Linked DNA regions of Pelodiscus sinensis. The protein of the gene in region 4 interacts with the protein of the main gene of each other region in a pairwise test. Links are inferred from orthologs where the notes say so. Each region holds a gene or a part of one and is shown on either strand. Other genes may lie near its edges.

Evidence for each region.
Region 1: the proteins of MTUS2 (region 4) and CCDC60 interact in binary tests that used the Homo sapiens proteins (3 or more experiments, as listed by UniProt). The two-hybrid records come from large-scale screens. The link is inferred for Pelodiscus sinensis from reciprocal best matches to the Homo sapiens genes MTUS2 and CCDC60.
Region 2: the proteins of MTUS2 (region 4) and TSGA10IP interact in binary tests that used the Homo sapiens proteins (3 or more experiments, as listed by UniProt). The two-hybrid records come from large-scale screens. The link is inferred for Pelodiscus sinensis from reciprocal best matches to the Homo sapiens genes MTUS2 and TSGA10IP.
Region 3: the proteins of MTUS2 (region 4) and TCEA2 interact in binary tests that used the Homo sapiens proteins (3 or more experiments, as listed by UniProt). The link is inferred for Pelodiscus sinensis from reciprocal best matches to the Homo sapiens genes MTUS2 and TCEA2.

The regions. Positions count from the first base shown.
Region 1 is NC_134725.1:10,039,582-10,046,405, reverse strand, and holds the start of CCDC60 (coiled-coil domain-containing protein 60), read left to right. Parts: upstream 1-3,806; 5' UTR 3,807-4,357; coding exon 4,358-4,792; intron 4,793-6,824.
Region 2 is NC_134721.1:33,087,828-33,094,898, reverse strand, and holds the start of TSGA10IP (testis-specific protein 10-interacting protein), read left to right. Parts: upstream 1-4,048; 5' UTR 4,049-4,063; coding exon 4,064-4,210; intron 4,211-4,650; coding exon 4,651-4,832; intron 4,833-5,439; coding exon 5,440-6,134; intron 6,135-6,386; coding exon 6,387-6,582; intron 6,583-7,071.
Region 3 is NC_134728.1:4,614,992-4,622,077, reverse strand, and holds the start of TCEA2 (transcription elongation factor A protein 2), read right to left. Parts: upstream 3,023-7,086; 5' UTR 2,883-3,022; coding exon 2,814-2,882; intron 1-2,813. UniProt on the Homo sapiens protein: Necessary for efficient RNA polymerase II transcription elongation past template-encoded arresting sites.
Region 4 is NC_134711.1:299,547,282-299,555,091, reverse strand, and holds the start of MTUS2 (microtubule-associated tumor suppressor candidate 2), read left to right. Parts: upstream 1-4,810; 5' UTR 4,811-5,048; intron 5,049-7,810. UniProt on the Homo sapiens protein: Binds microtubules. Together with MAPRE1 may target the microtubule depolymerase KIF2C to the plus-end of microtubules. May regulate the dynamics of microtubules at their growing distal tip.

The DNA.
Region 1 (6,824 bases), on a different chromosome or scaffold from region 4:
GTGTCTGGCCAGAGGAAAGGGAGCAGGGCAAGGTGCTTGTGGGTGTATGACCAGAGGATAGGGGCAGGAGTAGGGTACTGGAGGAGGTCTGGGCACAGGGCAGGAGCAGGGTACTGGTGGGTGTCTGGCCAGGGAAGAGGAGGCAGGAGCTGGGTGCTGGTGGGTGTCTGGGCAGGGGACAGGGGGCAAGGGCAGCTCGACCGGTACCTGGAGGGCTTCCAGGGACAAGGATCTCTGGGGCAGGATCTGCAGGCAGTTCTGGAAGAAGCACATGTGCAGCTCCTTTAAGAAATCTAGTCACTCCAAATGCTCCACCGCAGTCTTAATCCCCCCACACTCTTCCTCTCTGGAGCACAGGGGAAGGAAGGGAAGAGAAGAGAAGAAAGCTTGCACACTGCTGTGGGGCAGGGACAAGCAGCACATGCTTCCTGAGAAACTGTCTCAGAGGTTCAGAACTTCTGCCCCCATCCTCCTGCCATAGGAAGCCAGCGGTGGTTCCAATTTTGCGAGGGTCAGGAGACTGTAATGCCAGCATGGACTCCTCATTGGGGGGAAGGGAAGATGCAAAGAAGGGCTGGGAACACTGCATTGAGATTGACTGGCAGTGCCTCCACAATCGACCAGTTGATCACGATCGACTGGTTGGTGACCACTGATATATAGCAATATAAACTAGTCACTGCCTGTCTGAAATTTTACTTTTGTACCAACTTCACTAGTGTTTTTAATGTAGCCTTTTGTAAAAGTAGGCAAATATCTAGGTGAGTGGATATATCCTTTGGTAGACCACTGTGAACCACAGCTAGGAGGGTTTGATAAATTATTGTAAAGCATTGCTGCAGAAGATGACATCTTGAGGGCAGCTACGATACATAACTATTTTTTAAAATCTCATCTTATTTCTAGCAGAGTATTTAAAGAAAAATAAAATAAAATGGAAGGGGAGTACTGTGGGCTTCCCCTTCCCCCTTCACACACACTTAAGTCTCCCTTTTGAGAAACAGAACATGTATTTGTAAGTACTGCCCTCAACGTTTTAAACCATTCCTTCACTGGAAACTGTGTATTACACATAATACGCTATTTCTGCAGCTATTGCATGTATTGTCAGCCAGTAAAGATATAGTATTAAACTCATCTTGAATTCTCATTTTCCACCAGTTAGGGCTCCTTTGACAGGATTTGTGTGAAGTTTGAAAAGTTTTACTGAAAAAGCTCTCTGACAAAGCGAAATTACGGAACGGTTGTTTTTGTAGAATGTGGATGTTGGAGTTAGGAGACCTGATTTCTAATTTTACACAGCTCATGCGCTAGGGGAGGAGGAACTCCCCCTTCACTCGTTTTATCGCTATTTCCAATGAAGCAGAAGCAGGTTCAGTGTTTCCTTGACTCAAGGAACTTCAGATCTCTACTTCATTGTTCCAGTCTAATGAATGGGAATAAAATGCTTCACAGTGTTCTGTGCTATTATTTAGCTGTAATTTACTCCTAAGTGTCATCTAAGAGCCTAAAAGTCTAGAGGGAGTAGCTGTGTTAGTCTGTAACTTTAAAAGCAATGAGTAGTCCTATGGCATCTTAAAGACTAACGAATAAATATATATATAGTATCCTGAGCATTTGTGGGCAGAACACACTTCATCAGATGATCTCGAGACATGACACCTCAAACTCATCTGAGGAAGTGGGTTTTGTCCATGAAAGCTCTTGATAGTATATATATATATATATATATATATATATATATATATATATATATTTGTTAGTCTCTAAAGCTACATCTACATTGCACTTTCTTGCACAAGAACATATGCAAATGAGGCACGGTGATGAATATCACTGCACCTCCTTTGCATACTTAATGAGCCACCATTTTACACAAGAGGCTTTTGCGCAAGAAGGAGCAGTCTACACTCATTTTCAGATCTTCTTGCACAAGAAAGCGCAATGTAGACGTAGCCTAAGGGTATGTCTACCCCAGGGCTACGTGTACACTGGCAGCTTCTTGTGCAAGAACTCTTTTGTGGAAGAGTTCTTGTGCAAAAACTCTTCCACAAGAGAGTGTCTACACTGGCATGTGCTTTTGCACAAGAGCATCCATGGCAGTGTAGATGCTCTCTTCCGCAAGAAAGCTCTGATGGCCATTTTAACCATAGTGGCTTCTTGCACAAGAAATTCATGTTGCCTGTCTACACTGGCCTCTTCTAGAAGAGCTCTTGCACAAGAGGGCTTATTCCCGTGAGGGAGTGTCAGAGTTCTCGCACAAGAAGTCCTGATTTTCTACAGAACAACATCAGCTTACTTGCGCAAGAACGCGCGGCCAGTGTAGACAGGAGCCATGTTTTTGCGCAAGAGCGGCTGTTTTCACGTAAGAACGTGCCAGTGTAGACACAGCCCAGAGTTTTGTCAGAAAAGCAGCTGTTTTCCCGACAAAACTTAAGGAATGTCCACACTGCAATTGCGTTCTTCCGCAAGAAAATCAAAAGAACAGAGGGGTTTTTCTGGCATTGGTAATCCTCAATCTACGAGGAAGAAGCCTTTTCCCAAAAGAGCTCTTTCGCAAAAAGGCGTGTGTGGACAGGGAAGAGGGAGTTCTTTCGGAAGAAGAGGAAAGAGGAAAAAGCATAGGTACCCTGGTGGTCATTGCGTCCATAGCAATCACAGCTTACATGCGTCTGGACTCTCTTCCGAAAAAAGCTTCTTCTGAAAAAAGCCTGTAGCCTAAAAGTGCCACAGGACTACCCTTTGTTTTCTAAGAGCCCAGTAAGCTGTGGATGTGATGGTAATACTGCTAGACAATACTGAATGCCTGTGGTTTGGCAAATTCTCAGGTTCCAGGGATGCTGGACTAGAGAGGTTCAACCTATATCCCATATAACACATAATGACATGCAATTGTTAGGACGTTTGTTGGTTCCCCTCTCCCCCCATTTCTGAATCTGTTTCTGTTCCAGCTTCAGTCTGCCGGGCTTGCAGACCTTGCCCGCCTCTTCTAGCATGGGTAATGCAGTGCAGGGAACTGGGGTGGGTTGCAATCGGGGTGCTGGAACAGTGTGTACAGTGGGGGTGCCGAGAGCCACTGAGCTGTGCACCCTGCCTTGCACAGGCTGCACACACGGGAAGCTGGGCGTTGCAGCAGCACGCTCAGTTCTCGCCCCTCCCGGTTGGCACCGCTCCCCGCTGTCCCGACGGGGGGAGGGGCTCTCCCCCGCGGCAGGCTGCGGGTGCGGAGTGTGGCGGTGAGGGGGGTGTCCCGGTTATCAGAGCAGAGGGGGCTCGGGATGGGCCCCAAGCGATTCCCTCCGCGGCAGGACCTCCGGCTGCACCGCCTGGTCGCTAGGAGCGTGACGTCAGCAGCCGAGCCCCGCCCCCCGCCGCCCCACCTCGGCACCGCCAACGCGGGCAAGGCGGCCGAGGCCCGGGTCGCGTTGTCAGGGCAACGGGGACGCGGTCTCAGGCGGCCGGCCTGGGCAAGACGCGCCGCTTCCGGGACACGCGCTGCTCGGCACCTGCACTCCCGGGGGAGGGGGTATCAGTGGGGGAGGGGCTCAGCACCTGCACTCCTAGGGGGGAGGGGGTATCAGTGGGGGAGGGGCTCGGCACCTGCACTCCCGGGGGGAGGGGGTATCAGTGGGGGAGGGGCTCAGCACCTGCACTCCTAGGGGGGAGGGGGTATCAGTGGGGGAGGGGCTCGGCACCTGCACTCCCGGGGGGAGGGGGTATCAGTGGGGGAGGGGCTCGGCACCTGCACTCCCGGAGGGGGGATCAGTGGGGGAGGGGTTCAGCACCTGCACTGGGGGGGGGGGACTCAGTGAGGGTGAGGATCAGCACCTGGACTCGGGGGATACAGTTGGGGGGTGTCTCAGCACCTGGACCCCAAGGGAGACACAGCGGTGGGAGGGGCAGGGGGGACGCGAGACGTGCTCAAAGAGAGGGTTGAGGGGATTCAGTTGAAAGGGGGCATCAGCTACCCTAACTCGAGAGGGTGTGTCTCTGAGCTGTGTGGCTCCTGCTCCTGAGCTCTGGACAGGGGTCTCTGTGCTATGAGGGCAGAGCTAGGGGGCCCACCTGTTGTCTTGTTGTTCAGAATACAAGTCACAAGGAGACGGTTTTTATTGTGTCTTTTGAAATGATTCCATAAAGTTGTTCATTGGGATACCAGAGAGCACTCCATGTAACTTTGTGTGTTGCAGGTTTGCTGGCCTGTCAGTTTGTTTGGTGGGGCAGCCAAGTTGTGGGTTTGGTCATTAATTACTTAGTTCCCTTGACTGAGGGTACTGCACAGTGGATTGGTTTTCTCTCAAGTTATTTTGTGGCAGATACTTTAGTTATTCTACCTTGTAAATTAAAAGGAGGGTCCATGCAGCAGGTGACTGTTGGTTTGCAGGGCTGTGTTCTGCAGCGGGGGGGTTGCTTGGAGGTGAAAGGAAGAGGATCAAGATCATCAGTAGCATCAGCAGAAGCACTAGGGTCTCAGACAAGGACCGGTATAATCAGCAAGACCAGGATGCCTGGGAACACTAGGACTTTGGATCCTCGTTACTTTGTACTAATAAGACCCTTGCCCATCCCCACACAGAAAGGTGCAAAAGTCCAAGCTAGAAGTAGCACAGTTTATAATTGCTGGGAAGCCACAAGAGAACAAATATTTTGGGAGAGCTACCATCGGAGGCACAAGCAACTCACTCAGCATGGGTATTGGACACCCAGCTGGAAACCATACCAGGAGCTTGGAGAGATTCTCTACCTAGAGCCAAAGAAACTCACCCTCCACTATTTGGGACAGCTGCCTCAGGTAGGCTTTCCTCTTCTCATTCCTGGTTTCCATAAAAAACAGAGCATCATCATGTAAGTAAATTGAAGAGTCAATAGTCAATTTCTGCTTAAAGAGCAAAAAGGCAGTGTGAAACATTGTGCCAGCGTATAATTAAGTGTTCTTATATGATCAAATTAATAATCACATCACAGAACATTGGTCAAAAATTAGACCTGAGGAACATGCTTTGACCTTATATTTTGCCATTTGAGAACAGAGAAGTCTTTTAAACTTGGTCTTGGGAATCTTTAATAAGAGCAGTTTCAGTAGAGTGGAGAAATTAGAAAGAAGGTTGGGGAAGAATACAAGAGAAAATTAGGGTAATGGGATTATATAGCATTTTTAAGGAGAGGTAACCTGATCATACTAGAAAACTGCAGTGAATGAGCAAATACAAAATAATTAATGCTGAGGGAAGGATGAGCTAAGAATCAGGAAATGATGGCATCTAGAGGATGGGACAACAGCTTAGAAAATGAGCATATGAGGGACACCTCAGAATTGGAGATGGGAGATGAAACCACCAAACAGTCAAAAGGATGGAGGGTTTGGATTAAGGAGATTTGTTAGAGAGATGGTGTGAAAGTTCTTATGTCAAGTAGGGATAGAAGTTATACAGATTTAAATGTTATAGTGGCATATTTATATTCTGAAATGTGAGTTCACAGAAAGTCTTTTTTGGTTAACTATGATTATTTATATGGTACTGTGACTACCAGTATAACTATCATCTCATTCTGGCCTACTTTGCTGTCACACAGGAACTCTTCCTCTGGTCTCTTTTAGTGTCTGATTTAATCATTGACTTACAATGCCAAAAATATTGTTTGCCTGGTTGCCATGAAATTCAACTGCAAAGTCTTAGTATTTGTTTTCTTCATTGTTGTTGTTTTATTCAAGGAAATCTATAATTTATGGACTTGTTGCTTTTCTTCAAGACAGCAACAACACTACAGTCTGAATTGACCCAGAATGCAGTCACCCCTCCTTCCTCTGTCCTTTTCCTTTCTGTCTTAGCAGTTGTAATGCAAACTGTAGTGACTTTTTGGCTCAGATCTACAAAGGGATTTAGGTATTGCATAATTTTTGAACTGCCTTCTATAATGAATGTACAACTTAAGGTTTTGGATGAAATATTTATAGCTCTAAAGAGAGACTGGTTCCCATACACTATATTTAACTGAATTTCTAACATGCCATCATTTTGAAAGGGATAGACTTTTGGTTCTATAGGTGTGTCGTTGTATAGAAGTTTTGCCAGTATTTTTGCCCATGCCGTATTTTTGCCTTGATGGCATATAACCCCTGAAATGCCCTTCCCTTAGAATCTTAAGTTGGTTCTAGAATCAAGTTTGAACTCTGTTGTTTGAGATTTGAACTAAATGAGCCAGTTAAAATGTGTAATTTCTGTTGAGTAATTTGATCTAGACCAGGAAGGTGCATTGAAAATACTGTTTATAATGGTAGCAGATTAAATTACAGGTTTTCAAGTCCAGTAGGGGGATTTAGTCACTCAAGTCCTGTTCATTTATATGGGTGTTGTGTGCCTAAATGCCCCCTAACATTTGAAATTCTCAATCTTATCTGCTATACATTTGAGAGAGTTTGTCTGTCTGTCTGTCTATAACAGATGAAAACTCCTCCAAAAGGTAAGAGCTAGGACCAGCTTTCTAGAATACAGCTTTCTCTTATAACTTAAAGCAATGTAAGAGTTTGGTTGTGCCAGGAAAATGGGATGTGGCTGGAATGGGATTGTTACTTATAAAACCATACAGAAAAGAGACAGAATCACCAGAGAGGTGAAAGGGGCTGGCTCATGGCACACCCTCCACCTATCCGGAACTGCACCAACCCCGAGCCTTCCATCCCCAGGTACACTTTACGGAGGGTGATTGGGGCTGAAGCTCCCCTTTCTCAGATTCATATGGAGTCATTGGTGGCTGTTCCCCTTGTCAGGAAGTGAAAAGAAAGTGCACAGTTTGCTGCATTCCTCACTCTGGCTGAGGAGTGC
Region 2 (7,071 bases), on a different chromosome or scaffold from region 4:
CAATTCAAATTGGGCATTGAATTTACCCAAAAGGAGTGGAATGGGGGAGGGTTCAAGTGCCACAGCTGAGGTGCTGATCTCCCAGCACAGGTGCCCCAGCTCTGCCACCATAAGCAGCAGCACCTGAGTCAGCAGAGAAAACCAGGAGCCACGCCCCCTACCAAATGTGGCCTAAAGGCAAGGGCTGTAAACAAGTGCCAGTCACACAAGCTGTAATCAGAGACTAGTGCCCTCATCCCTTCAATGGGCAGCCTCCCTGCTCTGACCAGCCTCTAACCTCTCTCAGCACCCTCGTGCTATGTATATACCCCATTATTCATCCCACTCTATGTACCCCCCTTTTCTCCCACTCCATGTGCTACCTGGCCTCTCCATGTTGTATATACACCCAAATATTCTCCTCCATGTGCACACCCTCTTGATCCTGTCATTCTGTGCACCCCTGACGTTCTCTATCCTGTATACACACATATCCCTTGCCCCTTTCTCCCTGCCCACTGTGCAACCCTCACCATCACATATGCCCCTGCCCTGACTCTGACATGTGCATGTCACTCCAGTTCTCTTTTCCCACAGCAGCACACACACACATATACAAACCCTGGGGAATGCTCCCACATTGTCATGTTGGGGCTTGAATCCTCAGGAAGCCAAGGGCGTGGGAGAGACAGGGAGGGAAATAGCAGGCGCCAAGATGCTGCTCCAGAGCCACAAATGGATCCTGAATGCTTCTTGCCCAATGTTGCCAGCCAGTCAGGGTGGCGCCAGGAATGGGAGAAGAATTCACCACCCCAGGGAAGGTTTAGGCCCTAGCACAGCTCAGCCATCTTGGGAGAAGAATTACACAAAATGGCTTCCAGCAGCCATCTTTGTGTTTCCACTGACCTGCCAACAGCCATTGCATCTTGTCATGCAGCCATCTTTGTGCCTCCCCTATTCATGACCATTCTCCTCCTTGGCAGCCATCATTGTGCCAATCTTTCTTGGAAGTCATCTCTCTGTGTTATTACCCTGACAACCATCACCCCTTCTCTGGCAGTCATCTTTGTTTTGGAACTTAGTACTGCCCCCTAGCTCCATGGACCTGTGACGACTGGGAAAGGGGCACCCCCACTTCCATGCCAGCAGTTGCACTGTAGGGCAGCATCAAGATTGGGTATCATTTCCTAAGGGCCCAGGCCTGGGAACCACTGGCAGAGCTGGGGGGCCCCTTCCCTGTGGGTCTGTGTTGAGGCAGAAGAAGCAGGCTCCATGGAAGCCCCAGCTCTGCTGACCTCAGCCCTTAAAGGAGCTGCCCTGCTTAGAGGAAGTGAAGGGGATACACCTCACCTCCCCCTACTGCATTTCCTCAGTAGGGTTGCCAGATGGTTTCAACAAAAATACCGGACACACTTGACATTACATCACAATCTACATTACATCTTATTTAGAAGATACTGGACATTGATATTTTCTCATTTATATTTTCTCAATTTATTTCCCAAACAGAAAGCTCAAATACTGGACTGTTCTGTTCAACACTGGACACCAGGCAACCCTATTCCTCAGGGAGTCTGGGCCAGTGAGCCAGGGCTGCAGAATACCTCACACTCCCTTTGGGTATGTCTACACTACCCCCCTAGTTTGAACTAGGGGGGATAATGCAGTCATACGGAGTTGCAAATGAAGCCCGGGATTTGAATTTCCCGGGCTTCATTTGCATAAAGCCGGCCGGTGCCATTTTTAAATGCTGGCTAGGTCGGACCCCGTGGCACGGACTAGCTAGTTTGGATTAGGCTCGTGGAACGAGGTATACAGCTAGTTCGGATTAGGAAGCCTAATCCGAACTAGCTAGTCCGTGCCGCGTGTAACCGCGCGGCACGGGGTCCGACCTAGCCGGCATTTAAAAATGGCGCCGGCCGGCTTTATGCAAATGAAGACCGGGAAATTCAAATCCCGGGCTTCATTTGCAACTCCGTATGACTGCATTACCCCCCCCTAGTTCGAACTAGGGGGGTAGTGTAGACATACCCTTTATTCCCAGCACTTCAGCTTCCGCTGCCTAATCTAGAATACCCCAGTGTCCATTGATTTCCAGTGCCCCTGTACATCCATTCCCAGTAACCCCTATTGCCCATCCCAGCTGCCAGTGACCTTCCCTATTCCATTCCCAGTATCCTCACATCACCCAGCCTCTGCTGTTCCAGCTCTTGCTGATAGCACCCCATCAGTCCCCCCAGCCTCTAGTGTTTGGCCCCCATTACTACTACTCCAGTCCCCAGGGCCCTTATTACTCCTTAGTGCCCCCATCTCTCCCTTGTGGTGCCCCATCAATCCCCAGCCTTCCCTTCACCAGCCTACAGTGTCCTCCACTGATTCTCTCTCCACCTAAGATCTATTGCCCCTCCTCCAATCCTGTTTATCCCACAGACACATTTGCTCCTGGCAGAACCCCTCCCCCCTGCAGTTGTTGTTATTGCAACAGGAGCTGTCAGGGGTTATTAATAAGGCCAGTCCCAGCCCAGAGCCCCTGCCAAGCCAGTTCAAGGGGAGGGGAGGGACTCAGCCGCTTGTTGTTGTAGCATGTTTTGCAGTTAACAGTGTCCTTTCTGTGCCCTGCTGGAGAAACACAGACAGAATTCCCTAGACTCAATCTGCTCAGACTTTTTCTCCCAAAGATTCCTCCACCTCACCCCCACCCCCAATCCAACCTAACCTATCCCCACCAATTTCCACTTGTCCAACCTAAGCCTCAGCCAAGTCAGAACCCCACTTAGAGCTACAATAACTGAGCCTGAGATCTCCAGCTCCCTCTCCAGCCCTAGTTCCCTCCACCAGCCTTAAGCAATGTCCCCTTCCTCTGGCCTATGTCGATTCACGCTCCACACAGAGTTTGCATCCCCAATCAGGAGCCCCACACTCAGGTTTACATGATCCATAAAGTGCAGGAAAGAGGAGTGAATTTAAAGGAGGCCATACCCTGATCCCCACCATCTCTCCCCTTCAAAGTCTGCAGCTGGACACCGAGAGATGGGACCTTACAGGAACCTCCTGTCCTGGGAAGAGACAGGAAATTCTGGGAATCAGAGGAAACAGTGTGAAGCAAAAAGGAATTCTTGCTCCCCCTCTGCCTGGCTGGGCTCCCAGGCAGAGATGTAAACAAGACTATAATTATAGGGATCATGGCTGAGAATGAGCTATCCAGGACTCTGGCTGTTCCTACAGGGGATTAGTGACTCAGTGCTGTCCCTAGTACCTCAGGTGATCAAAGGGTAAAGTGCTGCAGAAAGCAGTATGGGAAGATCAGAAGGGGGAATTCTCCTTCACTGCAGGCTCCCAGTGCCCCAGAGTGGACTAAGGGCATTGTGCTCCTGGCAGGCACCATCTTTAAGTTCTGCAGTAAAATCCAGGGGTTTGTCTCTAATGTTATTATTTATTTGCATTATAATAGCACCAAATTTGGTGCCTCATTGTGCCAGGTGCTGCATGGATCCCAAACAAGATTGGGATCCCATCACTCTGGGAGTTGCACAGTGACAGTCCTTGCACTGAAGAGGTCACAGTAAAACTATAGAAAAAAATGAGGGAAACTAAGGCACAAAATGGGATGGGGGGAGGCAGAAGAGATTTTCAGTTGCAGAGTCAGGAATAGAACCTAGATGTCCTGAGTCTCAGTACAGTACAGTACCCCACCTTCTGGACCACATGTGACCCTAGAGATTGCCTTCTCCCTTCTCCTTCATCCCTTCCCCATGGCAGATACGCGCCAATATGTTGGATGGGCCATGGCATTGTTCTGAATGATTGTGTGTTCCTCATGCCTTTTATGAGCTGCACAATGTCCCTGAGACTAATGTTGCCCCTCCCAAGCTTTCCCCTTCTTGGGGATCTAACAGCACAGTCTCTCCCCTCATGGGCTGCTGGCCAGGATCAGAGCCATGGTCTGTCCTTCATCCACAGTTACTATGGTGACCATATAGTGGGGGTGAGGCCAGGCTCTGGAACCCTCCCAACCATGGCCATGTTCTGGAACATGGCCAATCACCACAGTAACAGCTGGGGGGGGGGAATTCAGGTAGGCACCATGTTGGGGGCCCACCGCCACTCTATGTTCACCAATGCTTGCATCAGCCCCTCCCTGGATCCCAAAGCCCGGGCGCCTGGCACCCTCTACCAAAAGAAGGGCAGGGTGCACCTGTTAGGACTGCTTTCAGGCTCCCTTCCCCAAGAGGTAACTCCTGGTACTCCCTGCCCCCTTTGTGTACTGGCATCCCACAGTCCTTGGGGGCCCAACATCTGTTTTCGACCACCCAAACTCTACCTTCCTCTCCCTGCTGTGAAGGACTCCCACAACGGGCAAACACCCAGGGAAAAATTTGGGGCTGCAGTTTGTTTTTGTAGGGTCTCCTTACCTGGCACGTGTCTTTCTTTCTCACTGTCCTGTGTGGATGTTTGTAGAGTGACACTGCTGGCTAAGTAGAGAGAGCAAGGGAGTGGAGTTAGGATGCACTACTTCCAGCTTTAGGAGGGAGTGTGGTGACTAGTGGACTAGGTAGTTTTGAGCCAGGACCTACTGAGGGAAAGGCTTCCTGTCCCAGTCTCTGTTGCCTGAGCCAGCCAGTCCCCTAGAAGAAAAGCCAGGTCCTTCTTGCCTCTGCTCTGCGGTTTCAGGAGGAGGTTTTCAATAATGGTGATGGAATCGTGGTCTTGATGAGGAAAGGGAGGAGAAAGGGGTCACCCAGAGGTCCCCCCTCAGGGAGAAGAGGCAGCCGGGTCCCATGCTGCAAGATGCAGGAGTCCTGTGTGAGTGACACCTGTGATGGGGACCAGGACTCGGCCCAATCTGCAGGAAGGTAAGTAGGATGGATGGGATCCTTATGGCCATTGGGCCAAACTTATGCTTGCTGCTGCTGCATAGAGATTTTATTAGTAGTGTCCACATGTGCCGACTGAGATCAGCACCCCTTTACGGCATGTGCTGCACAGATCCCAAGACCAGGGCCACAATTGTGCTGTGCACTACATAGACCCTGACCAAGATTGGGGCCCCCATTCTGCTGGGTGCTGCCCAGGCTCGTCAACCCAGATCAGGGGTCCTCATTGTCCCAGATGGTGCACAGATCCAGACCAAGATTGGGACTCCACTGTACTGGGCACTGGACCGACACGCAGTGAGAGACAGTCTCTACCCCAAAGGGCTTGCCTTGTAAAGAGACAAAGGGAGAAGAGTGGGTTCTACTGGGCTAGAGCCATGAGGAGGGGGGCAGCTAGGAGTCTGTTGCTGGCTCAATGTGAGATGTGGTCATGTCTATGGTATGCCCTGTAGATGAACCCATTGGCTTAGTCTAGGGTAGCTGGATAGGAGTAGCGATGCTGGGCTCATTAGCTGGGGGATACCAGGCTAGGTGGCTCCATTGCTCTGATCTGAAACTCATCATCTCCTTTTCTCCCTACCACCAGGCAGAGAGACATTCCTAAGGACCCATTTCCCTCCAAGTCAGCTCCTGCCTGCACCCTTGATCGCCCACCCCATTGCTCCCGCCCCTCCTTCCCCTTCCAGTGGATGTGGGAGGAATTCTCACTCAACGGCCGTGCCCTGCTCCCAGCCCCTTCCCTGGACCAGATGAAGAAGGGGGAGCCCCGCAGAGCTCCCAACAACTCTCCCCGTGAAAGTGTCCACCCCAAGAAGATGGGTTTGCATAGACGTGCAGACCAATGGGCTGGCAGCTCACAGGGGCACAGCAGCACTGAGGGGGGCAGGGTTAAGCGAGTACCCCACCCCACCTCCAGCAGCCTCTCCCCACTGTATTGGAAGATGGAGGCCCGGAGTGAGGCCCGCAAACGCCAGCTCCGGGAGGAGAGGAGGCACTGGCTCCAGCTGGCTCAGCAGTTGCTGAGTCTGGAGGAGGCTGTGTCTTCCCCGGCCTGGGAGACGTCCACCTCTGCCCAGCAGCTCCGGGCCAGGCTAAGAGCTGAGGCTCTGTGCCTGGCCACAGAGCCACAGGACCCAAGCCCCAGGGGGCACAGAAGGAAGGGCAAAGGGCTGGCCCCCAAAGACAAGATCCGGTACCAACCCATCATTAACCGGACCATCCCTGACTTTGAGACACTCCACAAGAGGTTCCAGGAGCAGCTGGAGAAGAGGAAAGTGAGAGGTGAGCCAAGGAGATGGATGCAGTTGCTTTTGGGGGCTGTTTAAACGGAACCTCATGCCCGGCACTGAGATGGAGCTGCCTCTGATGTGGGACTGCTTATACAAAAATCCCTGGAGTAGGAGGCACAAGGGCTGATTATTCAGAGACTCTTCCCCTGGCAATTAAGATGCAACTGTTTCTGGCGTGGGAAGTGCAGCTGATGGGAAGGTTCAGGAACCCTCCATTAATACTTTCTGTGTTTTCCTCCACCAGCCAAGATGACCATCTACAAACCCTTCCATCTCCACATGGCCAGCAGCTCTCAGCACCAACCTGGGGACCAGCTCAGAGACTGGGAGCAGCACCAGCTCTGGAGCTTCCACTGCAGGTCCCAGTCCTGCTCAGAGTTCGACCCCTTCCTCTCAGTGCCACCCACCAGAGCCTCTGACAAACGGCAGGAGGCCACCAGGTATGGACAATGACCTTCAGTTCATTCACACCCCAGTTGTTCCAGCCCTGGCTTCCCTCAGCTCTGCTGCGGCCCCTCTGCCATCCCCTCCCCAGCGCTGCTGGTCCCCCATAATCCTGACCTACAGCTAGGGTGGCTACTCATGCATTCCAGAAATACCAAACATTCCAGTGCTACTGGGAATGGCAGGAGCCCACATCTGCCAGTGCCGCACAAGGGGCGCTATTTTGAAGAGCACACAGCCCACCTCTGCCAGCATCATCTGACACATGTGGCGTGCATGCCAGGTCACACCAGAGGGGGCAGAGAGGCACTCTTCATTATGGCATCTCTCATCTGATACTGGACAAAGCCACATTGTTTTTCTCAGTACTGGATAGAAAGGCAGGATAGTCTGGCTAAAAGCAGATAACTGACATGCCAAGCTAGAGGCCCCTGCTATCCCAGGCCTGGGTTTCAGCACACACTGCCCTCCAGCACAGCCCCTCC
Region 3 (7,086 bases), on a different chromosome or scaffold from region 4:
TATCACTCAAAAAACTGCTTCTGCCTGCTGGTCACTGACACTTGGAAGACAATTCAACATTCAAATCATTTTCTAAAGAACACCCCACCTCGTTGGAGCGGAGGACCTCTTTTTAACCATGTGATTTCAGGGGAAAGCAGATTAATTTTTTTTCAGGGTTACTGCACAGAAGGGAATTAGGGAGGATGAAGAGTTCTGGGGAGAGAAAGCATATTGGGGGGCAGTCTATGGATCAGCAGTGTCAGAGAAAAATTTGAGAAATATCTGTTGTATAAAGGGAAGGTTAAGAGGAGACACAGATCTGCACTTGGGGAAGGAAGCTGAGGATTGACAAGGGAAAACAAAGGCAATAACAGAAGTTGGGGAGAACTGGTGGGTGAAGAGGAAGGAAGAAAGGATCAGTCCCCAGGAGGGACATGCAGGAGGAACTGCAGGGGAGAAAGGAACTGAAGGAATTCCCTCACTATGGCTGTGAAAATTGACGAGGCGTTTTCCTATCAAAGCTTTCTAGGCTGGGAGACAAATGGTCGCCACATTTAGGTAGGAGAGAGCAGAACATGTCCCCTCTTCTCTGGCCTTTGGAGAGGAAAAGCCCCTCTTCCCTCCTCAGCATCCTACACCTGCTCTTCACACCTCTGGCTACTGCGAGGTGATGGGAGCTTCCCTTCTGAGGCACGGCAGTGATGACCAAGCGACAGGACACAGTGGAGACCTCAGAGGGCTGAGAAGGCTGCAGGGTGCGGAAAGGAAGTGATGGTGGTTGTGAGTATGCAGGTGGTAGTGGGGAAGTCGTAATGGGAAGACAGAAGGAAGCAGATGGGAGGATTATGGAACAGCAAGAGGGGTTCCCCCAGACTCATCGTGCTTTTCTGTGGAGGCCCAATGGTAAATTATAAGGCCACCAAAAGATGAAGGAGGGTTCCCTGTATGCATGTGCTTTTCAGCAGGGCACTGGTGAAGGGACTGTAAGGGCAGAAAAGCATTGATGAGGGCCCATCATTTCTACAAGGAAGCATCAAAGAGCGGGTACCAGGGCTAGAGCAGAGGGCAAGAGGGGACACACCCCACAATGGTGTAGAGTAGACTACAATCCCAGAATTTGGTTTGGCTGCAAGATGTTTGATAGAGGATAAGAGGGCACTGGAGGGAGATCTATTTGAAAACAGGTGAAAGGGTGCTATAGGCATACACAGGGTGGAGACATCAGAGGGGTTATATGGGGTAATGCACAGGAGGGGGGCATCAGCAGGCTTTAGCGGCTGTGTTGGCAAATATTGGGTATTCTGGCAGGGTGCTGGAAGGGGGCTAAATGGGCAGGTCAAAGTAAGGGGAAGCAAGAGAGTCTACAAGGGTGGCTTGGGGTGTGTGGTGATGGGGATATAACAGGGAACAGAGGAGGGGATGTGGGGAATGCTCCATGAAGGTGATAGGAAGAGGGGACCCAGGCTCAGAAGAGGACAGAGGGGAGCCCTGAGGGGCTGTGGGGAAAAGGGCATGGGGGGAAGAGGGTTGCACACACCCAGACAGAAGGGAGTGAGGCAAACCCAGGAGAGAAGGGGACAAGCAGAGACGCTGCGGGAGGAGGGTGAGAGGTGGGGACATCGTGCGGGGAGTCAGAGGGCGAAGAGCAGGCAGGATGCTGGGGGTTTCCGGATGGTTTCGACAGGAATACTGGACACACCTGACATCACGTCCCAATCTACAGCCCATGGGACTGAGAAAGGTCCGGTGTTATCGATCTTCTCAATCTGTGTCCCGAACAGAAAGCTCAAATCCTGGGCGGTGAACCGGGCCCCTGGCAGCCCCGGGCGTGGGGCGCTGGGAAAGAAGGGGGCGCTCTGGGGGCACCCCAAGGCAGAGCAGGAGGCGCTCTGGGGGCACCCCAAGGCAGAGCAGGGGGTGGGGCGCTGGGAAAGAAGGGGGCGCTCTGGGGGCACCCCAAGGCAGAGCAGGGGGCAGGGCGCTGGGAAAGAAGGGGGCGCTCTGGGGCACCCCAAGACAGAGCAGGGGGCGGGGCGCTGGGAAAGAAGGGGGCGCTCTGGGGCACCCCAAGGCAGAGCAGGGGGTGGGGCGCTGGGAAAGAAGGGGGTGCTCTGGGGGCACCCCAAGGCAGAGCAGGGGGCGGGGCGCTGGGAAAGAAGGGGGCGCTCTGGGGCACCCCAAGGCAGAGCAGGGGGCGGGGCGCTGGGAAAGAAGGGGGCGCTCTGGGGCACCCCAAGGCAGAGCAGGGGGCGGGGCGCTGGGAAAGAAGGGGGCGCTCTGGGGCACCCCAAGGCAGAGCAGGGGGCGGGGCGCTGGGAAAGAAGGGGGCGCTCTGGGGCACCCCAAGGCAGAGCAGGGGGCGGGGCGCTGGGAAAGAAGGGGGCGCTCTGGGGGCACCCCAAGGCAGAGCAGGGGGCGGGGCGCTGGGAAAGAAGGGGGCGCTCTGGGGCACCCCAAGGCAGAGCAGGGGGCGGGGCGCTGGGAAAGAAGGGGGCGCTCTGGGGCACCCAAGGCAGAGCAGGGGGCGGGGCGCTGGGAATGAAGGGGGCGCTCTGGGGGCACCCCAAGGCAGAGCAGGGGGCGGGGCGCTGGAAGGGGCGGGCGCCTCAGGGCACCCAGGATCCGGCGTGGGGCGCTGGGGGGCGGGTGAGCGGGGGGGGCGCTGTGGGGGGGCGCTGAGCGGGCCCCACAGAGGGACGAAGGGGCGGGGCGCCCCGGGAGCTGAGGGGACGCTGGGGGGGGACCCGGGGTCGAGCGCTGGGCGCTGGGGGGGGGCGATCGGGGGGGTCGGGGGGGCCGATGGGGGGGGGCTCCCCGCCCCCCGGACTCACCGCGCTTTTCTTGGACACCATCTTGTCCAGCCGCTTGGCGATGCGCACGATCTCGTCCTCCCCGCCCATGGCTCCGCGCCCCGCAGCAGGGGGAGGCGGCGGGGCCGAAGCGGGGGGGGGAGGGAGGGAGGGAGTTTCGAGGCTCTCAGTCACCCCGAGGTCCGCAGTCCGCCCGGCCCCCCCCTCCCCGATCACCAGCCCTGCGGCGCGCGGGGCACGATGGGACTCGTAGTCCTTCCGCACAGCCAGCTCGGCGGAGAGCCACTCGCTGGGACTACAGCCCCCATAGGGCAGTGCGACGGCCAGGGCCCACCGCCCCCCTCCGAGGGGCATTGTGGGAGTTGTAGTTCAAGCGGGGACTGTGACCCACGCTCTTGGGGCAGTTTAGGACTACAAGCCCCAGCAGCCATCGGAGAGGCGGGCTGAGTTCAGTGCTTGGCATGGGTGGCTGAGGCTACAGCTGTTTTTAGGGGGGACAGATTGGAGGTGGGTGGGGACGCGGGGCTAGGAGAGGAGAGGTGATGAATGATGGGGGAGGAGAGGAAAAGACGGGGAGAGAGAGGGATAATGCAGAGAGGGAGCCAACGAATGGGGGGAGAAAGAAGAAGGATCAGGAAAGAAAATCCAGTGGGAGTGAAAAATGAAGGACAAGAGAAGGGAAAATAAAGAGAAGGTGGCCAGTAGTGTTTCCTGTAAGCTGTGCACTTGGTGGTTGGCCACCCAGGAGCAATTCAAATGTATTAGCAGAGTGCCCACAATCAGCTTGTGTTTCTGTTGGGGGTGCACATCTGCACATGCCCTGGTGCACATCACAAAATTAATTCTGCACATGAATGGAAAAAAATTAGAGATAACATTAGCAGTAAACTGAGCCTCAGGCTGGCCGGTTCTACAGAGTTAGACCCCCATAAGCTGCTTTGCAGTGACTTGGCTATGGAAGTGTGCTTCACTTAATTTCAGCTCCTGCTGACCTGAGTGCCTCACCGAGTCGCCTCCCCGATTGGTGCCAAATCCCAGGTTGTGTAACAAGGTCTCCCTGGTGTTTGTATGTTACCATTCTTGATGTCAGATTTGTGTCCATTTGTTCTGTTGCAGAGATCGTTCAGTTTGTTCAATGTCCACAGCAGAGGGACATTGCTGGCACATACCACATTAGTAGATATGCAGGTGAATGAGTCTTTGATGACTGATATGGTTGGGTCATGTTTACTTTATGATTCACTGTAGCCTCCAGTGTAAACACGGGCACTTTTCAGGCCTTTCTTGTATTCAGAATTGCCCTGATTTAACTACAGGTCTTGTTTTAAATCACTTTAGTAAAACCACTGTGCAACTCATCAGTGTGGATGATCTAATTTACATTGATTTAGCTGAATTTGGACATTGGGGTTCTGTAGGCCTGCCTCCAGGCGTGTGACTGTAACAGAGTTATGAACCAGGGAGCCTAGAACTTTTGGGGAAAGGCCGCAAATGGTTTAATCAAAGCCATGTTAATAACCACGATTCACACTGAGACCTTGATGGGGCTTGTTTAAAAAACAGGCTTTGTGATTATATGCTTTGAGACGGCTCAAGGTTTCCTTGTTGTTGAGTGAAGAGTGTTTGGGTTAGAAAAACCACGAGAAGTGCTGGCAGGATGCCCGTGATCAGCCTTGCTTTGCATAGATTGAGAAGTAGGGCTATATCTTCACTGCAGCAGGTTATTTCAAAATTGAAATACGCTATTTTGAAATAAGATTGAAATAAGGTACACAATTTGCATCGCTCACATTGCGTATTTTATTTCGAGCTATGGTGCAGTATAGCTGCACCCTAGGAGACCCAGTGTCAGCCAAAAGGGGTTTCACTGGCTGGGCTTCGGCTTTGTTTGGTGTGCATTCTTTCCTCTTGGTGCTCCAAGTTAGGGGTGTTGAGCTTAGAGAATCTCATGTCATGGGGTTTCCTGAATTTCAACAACATGGTCCTAGATTTGATTGTATCTGTTCATCTGATGCTGCCTCCTGCCTCTGGGAGGCAGGAACATCATTCCAACAGTCTCCAATCCAGCCTGCCCTTCCTGAGCTGCCCTAGGAAAGAGTTGCAACCCCCTGCTGAAACTGACAACAATCAATACTCATCTTCCCTCAGAAAAGGACCATCTCTGACACCTCCTCTCTTCTCCTTGGCGATATCTATTTGTCTGTCTGTGCGTGTAGGTGGTTGGGGAAACTTACTTGAGAACACTTTCAGCTTTGCCAGGGAATGAAAGTGGCAAATGAAAGTGGTGTCACACAATGTTGCCAGCCTCCAGCAAGGGCTAAGAACAAAGCTGGTTTGGCATGATGTGGTTTTTCCCCACGCACAAAAGTAAATGATGTAGAAGGGTAAAATGCCTCGGGGGGTTGGTGAGAAGCCAAGCTTGAGATGCCTAGAAAGAACGGAGGAGACAGTACTAGGAATGGGATGCAAAAATAACAACCAAGCATCCGGTAACCACAACAAGGACACCTCACCAGCCTTGGTCCTGCAGAGATCTAGGGCTCTTCTAAAGAGGGGAGTCTTGGGAACCTGTACAGAAAGCAACAGCAGCTGCCTTCACTCCCCGCTGGCCCGAGTTACACTCCCTGCCACTTCTTGCAAATCAAATGACCATACACATGCCATGTATGCTATGATCTTTGGGACGGGCGGCATTTTTGTCACTACCAACAACTAGCCGAGACAAGGATGCCCTCCCACCTGTCCCCTAGTCATCACTTTGCTCTGTAGAAATCGGAATGGGACTGTCAGCTGATGGCGCTAGCGAGGCCACAGGAGCGGTTGAGGTTGGTTTTCTAGCTAGGGTGACCCTATGGCTGCTGCGTCACTCACCTCCTTGTATAGTGCAACCAGCCTCCAGCACAGTTCATTGATGGCAATGAAGCATTAAGAGCTATCTGCTGGGTGTGGCTGCGTGGGGGCAACATGGTTTCTAACCAGCATGCTCAGCAGCGTTCGAGTGGTTAACCCACATCCTTCCCAAACTTTGTCCTGCCATCCGGGTATCGACGGGGAAGAATGGCGGCTCATTGGTGGAGGATGCAGCCATGTTTCTGAGCAGCAGAAAATATTCCAGATCCCAGCATGCATGTAAGATTGCACAGTAACAAAGTGTTGCTGCAGCGTCTCATTGTTATTCCACACCGGGAGCGTGTCTAAAACCTCTCCTTTCTGCCGAGCAGGCTGGCAGTACCGGCGCTGCCTTCTAGGTAGATGGTGGTTTTACAAGGAAAACAAGATTGGGTGTCCCAGAACTGTTCCCATGGAGCCATGGAAGCTGGATTTATTGACGCCGTCAGTGACAGGAAGAATACTGCCTGCAGATGTGGTTGCCTCATCTCAACAAAGAGATCTTGGCATTGGAAAAGGTTCAGAAAAGGGCAACAAAAAGGATGAGGGGTTTGCAACAGGTCCCATGGGAAGAGAGATTAAAAAGACTTGGGACTTTTCAGCTTAGAAAAGAGGACAGTAAGGGGGGATAGGATAGAGGTCTATCAAATCATGACTGGTGTGGAAAAGGTGAATAAGGAAATGTTATTTATTTATTTAAAATATTTGTACCCCGCCTCTCTATTTAAAATATTTGAGGTGGCTTACAACATGTTTAAAACACAGGATAAATATATATAAAAAATGAAAATAGCAGATCCCAGGAGGACATAAAACCTGCTAAGACATCTCAAGAGAAGGAACATACGCTCTCTCTCTCTCTCTCTCTCTCTCTCTCTCTCTCTCTCAAACACCAATAAAAGCACGAATAAAAAGGGTGGCTTTAGCCTGGCGCTGAAACAATGCTAGCACTGGCGTCATGGGAATATCCCAGGGGAGAGAATTCCAAAGTCTGGGAGCAAAAGCTGAGAAGGCCCCTGCTCCGCGTAGATGTTAATCTTATCTCCATAAGTGAAAGAACATGGATCAGAGCCCCTCCCAGCTGACGTCAGTGCCCGGGCAGGTTCATATGGGAGAAGACGGTCCTTCAGACACCCTGGACCCAACCTGTTTCGGGCTTTATAAGTTATAACCAGGACCTTAAATTGTGCCCGGACGCCGGTGCAGCTGCTACAGCACTAGATAATGTGCTCCATATAACGAGTATTAGTTAAAACTCGAGCAGTTGCATTCTGGACCAGCTGAAGTTTCTGAAGGCTCTTCAGAGGCAGCCCCACGTAAAGTGTATTGCAGAAATCCAATCGGGATGTAACAAGAGCGTGGATCACTCTGGCCAAGTCATGCTTGTTCAGGAAGGGTCGGAGCT
Region 4 (7,810 bases):
GATTAAAACCAACTCAACCTTATGAGGGATTCTTAGAGTCCTTTTCTGAGATGAAAACTAGCTTTGCTGACAGGGTTATGTTCTTGAATGCTCTCAAAACACCCAAGCCAGCCCAGATGAATTTCATGTGCACTAATGAACACATGCACACTTCTTAATAAGGGACTTGCTACAGTATGTTGTTAGCTTGTCATGCTACAACTACTGTACTTACAGCCCTCTGTACTATTACTGATACATGGGTAGTACTAGTCTGTCAGAAGAAATGCTAGAATACTAATACTTAGTGCATATGTGGGCAAAAGATAAGATGAACTACTCTACAGTACAAGAACAGAGAAAATTCATAATGAGCTTTATTCAGTGCCCATTGAAGCCAACTCTTGAGTTAATGGATATTGAGTCAGGAACTCTATGGTAAATAGTACCAAATATATTACAAATAAATTACATTATGGGTGTATCATAATCTGTAACTTTGTTTATTTTACATAGCAGGCCTTAGGAGCTGAAAAACAATGCATGCTGGCTTTCTCAGGAGTGTATCTTTAGCATATTTAGTATCATGGTATAAACTTGCACAGAGCTTGAAAAATATAGCCAAGACCAACTGCCATACAGACCTTGTTGTTCATGGAAAACTAAACAAGACACCGGGCAATAGCTCAAAAATAAAAGTGTAAGGATTATTACTTGAAGAATCAATTTTTAAAGAGGGATTTAGAGATGCAAGGTTCTCTTTGCATATTTTGAAGGTAAAGAGAAATGGAACTTGAGAGAGAAGAGTATTGGAGAGTAGCCAGTCAAGGAAAAAATCAAGGCCAACAAAAATTAGCACACATGCAAGCTGGTTATTTGTTCTCAAAAAGCCAATAGCACATGTAACTGGTAACTTCAGGAAAATAAATAGAATCAACATACAACTATTTATTAAGAACATAAGAATGGCCATATTGGCTCAGACCAAAGGTCCATCTAGCCCAGTATCCTGTCTTATGACAGTGGTCAAGTTCCCCAGAGGGAATGAAAAGGTAATCATCAACTGATCCATCACCTGCCACTCATTCCCAGCTTCTGACAAACAAAGGCTAGGGACACCATTCCCACACACCCTGGCTAATAGCCATTGATGGGCCTATCCTCCATGTATTTATCTTGTCCTTTTTTTAACCTTGTTAAAGTCCTGGTCTTCACAACATCCTCTAGCAAGGAGTTCCACAGGTTGACTGTGCATTGTGTGAAGAATGCTTCCCTTTGTTGGTTTTAAAACTTCTACGCATTAATTTGAGTGACACCTAGTTCTTGTGGTATGAGAACAAGTAAGTAGCTTTTCCATATTTACTTTCTCAATACCAGTCATAATTTTATAGACCTCTATCATATCCCTCCTCAGTCTTCTCTTTTCTAAGCTGAAATCTCTCCTCGTATGGCAGCTATTCTAAACCCCTAATCATTTTTGTTTCCCTTTTCTGACAATATCATTTTTTGAGATAAGGTGAACACATCTGCATGCAGTATTCAAGATGTGGGCATACCATGGATTTATATAGAGGCAATAAGATGTTCTCTGTCTTATTCTCTATCCTTTTACAATGATTCCTAACATTCTGTTTGCTTTTTTGACTGCTGCTGCACATTGAGTGGATGTTTTCAGAGAACTATCCACAATCACTCCAAGATCTCTCTTGAGTGGTAACAGCTAATTTAGCTCCCATCATTTTATACATATTAGTTAGGATTATGCTTTGCATTTATCAACATTAAAATTCATCTGCTATTTTGTTGTCCAGTGACCTTGTTTTGTGAGATCTTTTTGAAGCTTATCTCAGTCTGCTTTGGACTTAACTGTCTTGAGCAGTTTAGTATCATCTGCAAATGTTGTCACCTCACTGTTTATCCCATTCTCCTGATCATTTATGAATATGTTGAATAGGATTGGTCTCAGTACAGACCCCTGCAGGACATCACTAGTTACCTCTCTCCATTCTGAAAACTTACCACTGAATATATGTATTTTATAATAATGTAATTATTTTTGTTTTCTAAATTAACTTCATCTTCTGGATATGCCAGGACCTGTCTGTTAAGCTCATGTGTCCAGGGATCACTTGAGTTTTGTACAGCAGGTTGTACATTATCATGACTTTAACTTCCTACTTTTTGTGTGACATAGCTGTGACCCTAGCAGACCAGTTGCCAAGAGCCCTAGGTCTTAACTGAACAGTGACAACTATACAGATGGAAACCCATCAGGCTCACATGTGCTAGTATTGTTAAAATAGGTATTTGCATTATGAAAATGTGTTGAGACTTTATGATATGCTTCTAAATTGCTGCATGCATTAATCTCTCTTAAAATATTTAAAAAACAACAAATAGTCCTGCAGCATTTTAGAGACTACCAAAAAATGTAGATGGTATCATAACCTTCGTAGGCACAACCCACTTCTTCTTTAGACTTCTTCAAGAAGAAGTGGGTTGTGCCTACGAAAGCTCATGATACTATCTACATTTTTGTTACTCTCTAAGGTGCTGCAGGACTATTCATTATTTTTTAAGTTTTTTCAGTTACAGATTAACATGGCGACCCCTCCGAAACTCTTATAATATTTGTACCCCATGTCATAAGATAAGATTTATGTGTTTGCACTGAAACTGTAAGTCCATCAGTCAGGAGAGAAGTATTAATGAGTGTGAAATATTAGTTTACCATAGCAAACTAGTTTGCCCAGCAAAAAACCCATTGACAAACTATTGTGGAATGCCAGAGGACAAAGACTTTGATTGCTCCCCACCACTCAAGAAGAGATCTGCACTGAGTCTCTTCCCATCAGCTTGAAATCTGCCAGAAAGGAATAAAAATTCTTATCAAGGAAAAACTATATGTTGTTTGAACTCTGAGGGGCAAGAATTACTAAGCATAAGTAAAAGATCCCCAGCACTTGGTCTGTGCTAACCCATAAGGAACTTGCTTATTATAGGATGTTCTACTGCCTTTTTGAAATCTAAGACTAATTCATTTATGTGTGTTTGCCTCATTAATATCATAATCTCATTTATTTTTTAGTTTATTATAGGATTGACCACCAGCATTGTCTTTGTAAGATCCAGGTGCCAGTGACCTATGGTAAGTGACTTGTCCTTTGGGGCTGGGAGTAACATGAATATTGCTGTGCTTTTTTATGTGAGGGACCGTCTATCACTAAGGCAGGCTTGTCTGGGTGGCAAGATAGACTTCAGTACCCAAGAGGACTGGTTGTAACTTTTCATGATATAGTGCCTGAGGAATTCACACATGATATTTGTCTGGTAAATATAAGTACAGGCAGTCCCCGGGTTACATGGATCCGACTTACATCGGATCCCTACTTACAAATGGGGTGAGGCAACCCCGCACCAGCTGCTTCCCTCCAGCAGACCAGAGAGACGCGAAGCTAGCGCCCTCCCCCCCCCAGCAGACCAGGGAGACGCGAAGCTAGCACCCCCCCCCCCCCAGCAGACCAAGGAGACGCGGAGCGGCTTTTCTCAGCAGACACCTCAGCTTGAGAATAAAGGACTGAGGGAAGTGAGGTGTGGGAGAATAAAACTGAGCTCTGGAGAAATGTTTGGCTAGAGTTTCCCCTACAATATGTACCAGTTCCGACTTACATACAAATTCAACTTAAGAACAAACCTACAGTCCCTATCTTGTACGTAACCTGGGGACTGCCTATATTAAACTCACAACCAGTTTGAGGTTTGTGCTCTGCTTCTTCACAATCTTCCCTGCGGTTGGCACTCATGTGTCTGAGCCACTCCCAAAAGCTTGCAAATTGCCACAACTGCATATGGAATTCAGTCATGTATATATGCTTAGGCTGTTTTTTCCTGTTTGTATGTACCAACAGCTCATTTGCATACATTATTGTTGGACTAAAAATCCCTTTCCTAGTCAGTTGTTCAGTCTGCATTTTTGATACATTGCCACTTCATTTGTTCTCCAGTTATAATTTTTCAGATTAGACAAGACCTGAATGTCTAATTTAAAAAAATCTGAAAAAATGTTTTAATTTGTTTAGGGGGAGTGTTAGGGGTCACATCTTAGGCCTTCTTTATAAATTAGGTTTAAGTGAAAGCATATATGAAATTAGAAGCTTGACATTTAGAATGGGAGCTCAGAAATGGAAGGGCTTAAGCATACATTCTGTCCTCAGTAAACAGAGTGCCCCTAAGGTTAGCAACCTCAGGCTACTTCAGACATCCAAATTTCAGATATCAGGATTTAGCACTATCCTAGGATTTCACCTAGGATTTAGCAGAGATCTAGCTTTTAGTGATCCCCCAGTGTTGCCAACTACTGCAACTGTATCTCACAATATTGGTATTTTTCTTTCTTTAAAACCCCAGCATCTGGAACCCTGTTGTTGTGTCAGGAGAATCCCAGCCTTTATTTTAAAAAAGTTGTTAGTTTTCGGGGTTGCACAGGAAAGCTTGAAAATGTGAACCTCAAAGGCTCAAAAAACAGGGCAAAAGAAAATTTTCGAAATCTCACGACATTTAAGTCAACTTTCTGACTTTGGGGGGGAGCTGAGTCGCAGCCTTTAGCTGCCTAGGGTTTGGGGACCTGTGAATGGCCGTAATAAATGCCCACAGAGCCGGGAAATAGCTCTATTTAAAGTGGAACAGCCTTAGAAATAGTTGCTACTTAAAAAAAAAGATGCAGCCCACAATCCTAGGAGCTTTCTTTGCTGCAGCGGTACGATGTTAGGGAGACTGGACTCAGTTGGAAAATCAGCCTCCAAGGGGCAGCGCTGCCGATGTGCCTGCAGAGGGCGCTGTGGCTCCTGCCGTGGCCGGCAGCGGGAGGCTGGGGAGCTGGGAGGCAGCGGGCGCCGCTGGCGGAGGCTGCGCGCTGGGTGTATATATAGCCGCCTGCCGGTGCCAGCAGCTCCCCTTCGCACTGCCTGGGTGCGATGTGAGGCTGTAGCGGGAGCCATCGGCTGGGAGCTGGCGCGCGGCTCCGGCTTCCCTTTGTCCTGGAGGAGGAGACGGGTGCGCCGCGGCCCCAGGTACGGACTCTGCGTCCTGCCCCCGGCAGCTGCTCCCCGCGTGGGCAGGCGCGGGCGGGGACTTCTCGGACCCGGCCACGCGGCGACGGAGGGTTTCTGCGGGTGCCCTGCATCCTCCCAGCCGCGGCTCTGCCTGCGCAAGTTTTTACCCCCCTCGGGGACTAATGCCCGCTCCCCCCATGGCAGCACAGGACCGGCCTCCCCCATCCCAGCCTCACTGAGCAGAGCCCCAAACAAAACCAGCCCGGCCATTGCGTGCTGTGGGGGCGCGCGCGACCCGCCCCCGGCCAGCTGCGCAGGTAGCCCCCTCTCCAGCCCTGAGCCACAGCCGCGCGCCCCCACCCCAGTAGCACGAGGCACCTTCGCTCCAGCCGCACGCAGAGCGCCAGCTCCCCACCCAGAGCGGGATGCGCGTTGCTATTCACGTCTAGGGAGAGCTCCGCCGGCATTTCTAGCCCTCTGGGGCTGGGACAGGTACTGCAGCGTCTGAGGGAGCCACCTCGTCCTCGGCGGGCTGCTCGTGTCACTTAGCAGGGATGATGGGGGAAGCTGGGCTGCATCGTGGGGGTCAGCTGAGACCAGTCAACTGTTCAGTGTTCTAGAGGTTCGGGGAAAGGTGAAGGCTGCATCTGTGCTGGTGTCCGATTAATGCCCGGGAAGAAATGCCCGTTCACTGCCGCCTCCTCCCATCTTAGGGGTAACAAGCACATCTGGTGTGGGAATGCGCACTGAGACCTCAGTGGGTGACCCGAAGGCTTAAGTGTCTGTCATTCTAAACTTTGAATGTTCTCTTCCTCCTTGTTACCATACATGTAAGCACATTTAAAAATATCTTTTTTTTCAAGATGGCATTTCCCTGTAGGATCACTGACCAGCATTGCTCTTAAGGGGCTTGATTTTTGTTTTTGGTTTGTTTTGTGGTCTGTTCATTGGGTCCACTGAGCTTACTTTTAATTTTGCATAGAATTGTTCTAGGGAGAGTGAGATGTATTTTATCCTTCCCTGGAAGGAGGTTATCTTGTTTGTTTATTAATCCTTAGGTGTTTGTCTAGTAAAAGAGTTAATACAGAAAAAATAAATTGAAAAAACTTTAAATAAGACAAGTGGTGCCACTATATTTTAAATAACAATGTGATTTTCTTTGAAACATACTGAATCAAAAAATCCATAGACTATCCATATATTGATAGAGCTATTACTGCCTATATGTGCCTGTATAGGTGAAACACTTTTTGATACTGCTTCTAAAATGCATAAGAGGGAGAAAGTAACATCCCCAGGCTTTGATCATGTGTCCCCTGAAAAGTTCTAAGGAACCTAATGAGTGAAATAGTTAAGGTGCCATTTAGCCCAGTACAGCATCTCAATGAAGGACCAAAGGTCTGGTTAGGTGCTCACTTTTAACAACAGCAACACAGTTTTTGAGCTCAATCTTGCAGAGTGTTGGATACCTTCTGACAAGTGCAAGCATCCGCAGCGCCTAGATTCAGAGGAGCTTAGCTAATTTACTTAAGGTGATGCTCTGACCCAATGTGGCCAGTCTTACTTTAGCAGCCCTCTGCAGCACCTAATTACTATAAACAATAGTAGATACTATAGGTTATAGACTAGCACAGTGGTCCCCAACCTTTTGGGGCTGCCGGGCACCCGGGGGCGGGGCCACGCATGCGCCACGTGCCCGGGGATGGGACTGCACATGTGCCGCGCACCCAGGGCAGAAGCTGCACATCGCAAGAATGGCTTGGGCCGGCCCTGGTCACTCGGCAGGTGCACATAAATGCCCCAGCGGGCACCGCGTTGCGGATCACTGGACTAGCATATATCTTCAGTCACAGGGCTAAATAGGACTTGACTCTGGAGTCCTTACTCAGACAAAAGCCCCATGACTGCAGAATAAGATCAATAGTTAGTCTACCCTTTAGATTACACTGGTCCCTACCATGTTATAGTAATTTACTGGGGGCAAACCACTGTGGCTCTTATTATTGTCTGATGCCTTTAAGTTATTTAAATATATGTAAACAACTTACTTTGAACATTGTTATTGTTTTTGTTACTGATAGAAACATTTCCTACTACTAGTGCAATGTATTTCTTCACACACAATAGCTTATACTTTGCAAAGGATGGGTATAAGATTGTTACAAAAGCACTTGGTAAAAACTCCCTAATTAAAATTGCATTTTGAAATAGGATCTAAATTCCTGGGGTTGCCATTTGGGATGTGGCTTCATGCAGGATTAGCTTTTATATCCTTTGTATTTTCAGGTAGATTCTAGCTGCCTTCTCTACATTAACTTCTATATTTTTGCCTTGGATTTGGGCTATCAGAAAACTGTCCTTGATAGGCCATCTTTTTCACTGTTGAGCAGTGTCTCTAAAGAACCATTCCTTATCAATACAACACTTGGTAGAAAGGTGGATCCTGGCTCTATCTGGTGTGAAGGGGTAGGCTTTGTTTTAAATAATGTGATAAAGGATCACTTTAGCTATTATTCATGTAACAAGAAGTAACGTTCTGTGCATATGAATCTGATTAATTGGTGTCTGGATATAAACAAACACAGTTTGTCATTCTCCTTTATAGCAAGTGTTCTCCTATGGTGAAGTTTCCTAAATGTCTTGTATCCATTGTTTTATTAATGATGGGTTGTGCAGAATTCTATAATAAGTTACTTTGTGTTTATTTTTGCAAAAGCAAAGCCCAGGACACCAGAACTCTTAAGGAAGAATAATACAATACTGCCAAAGAGCTCAGATAT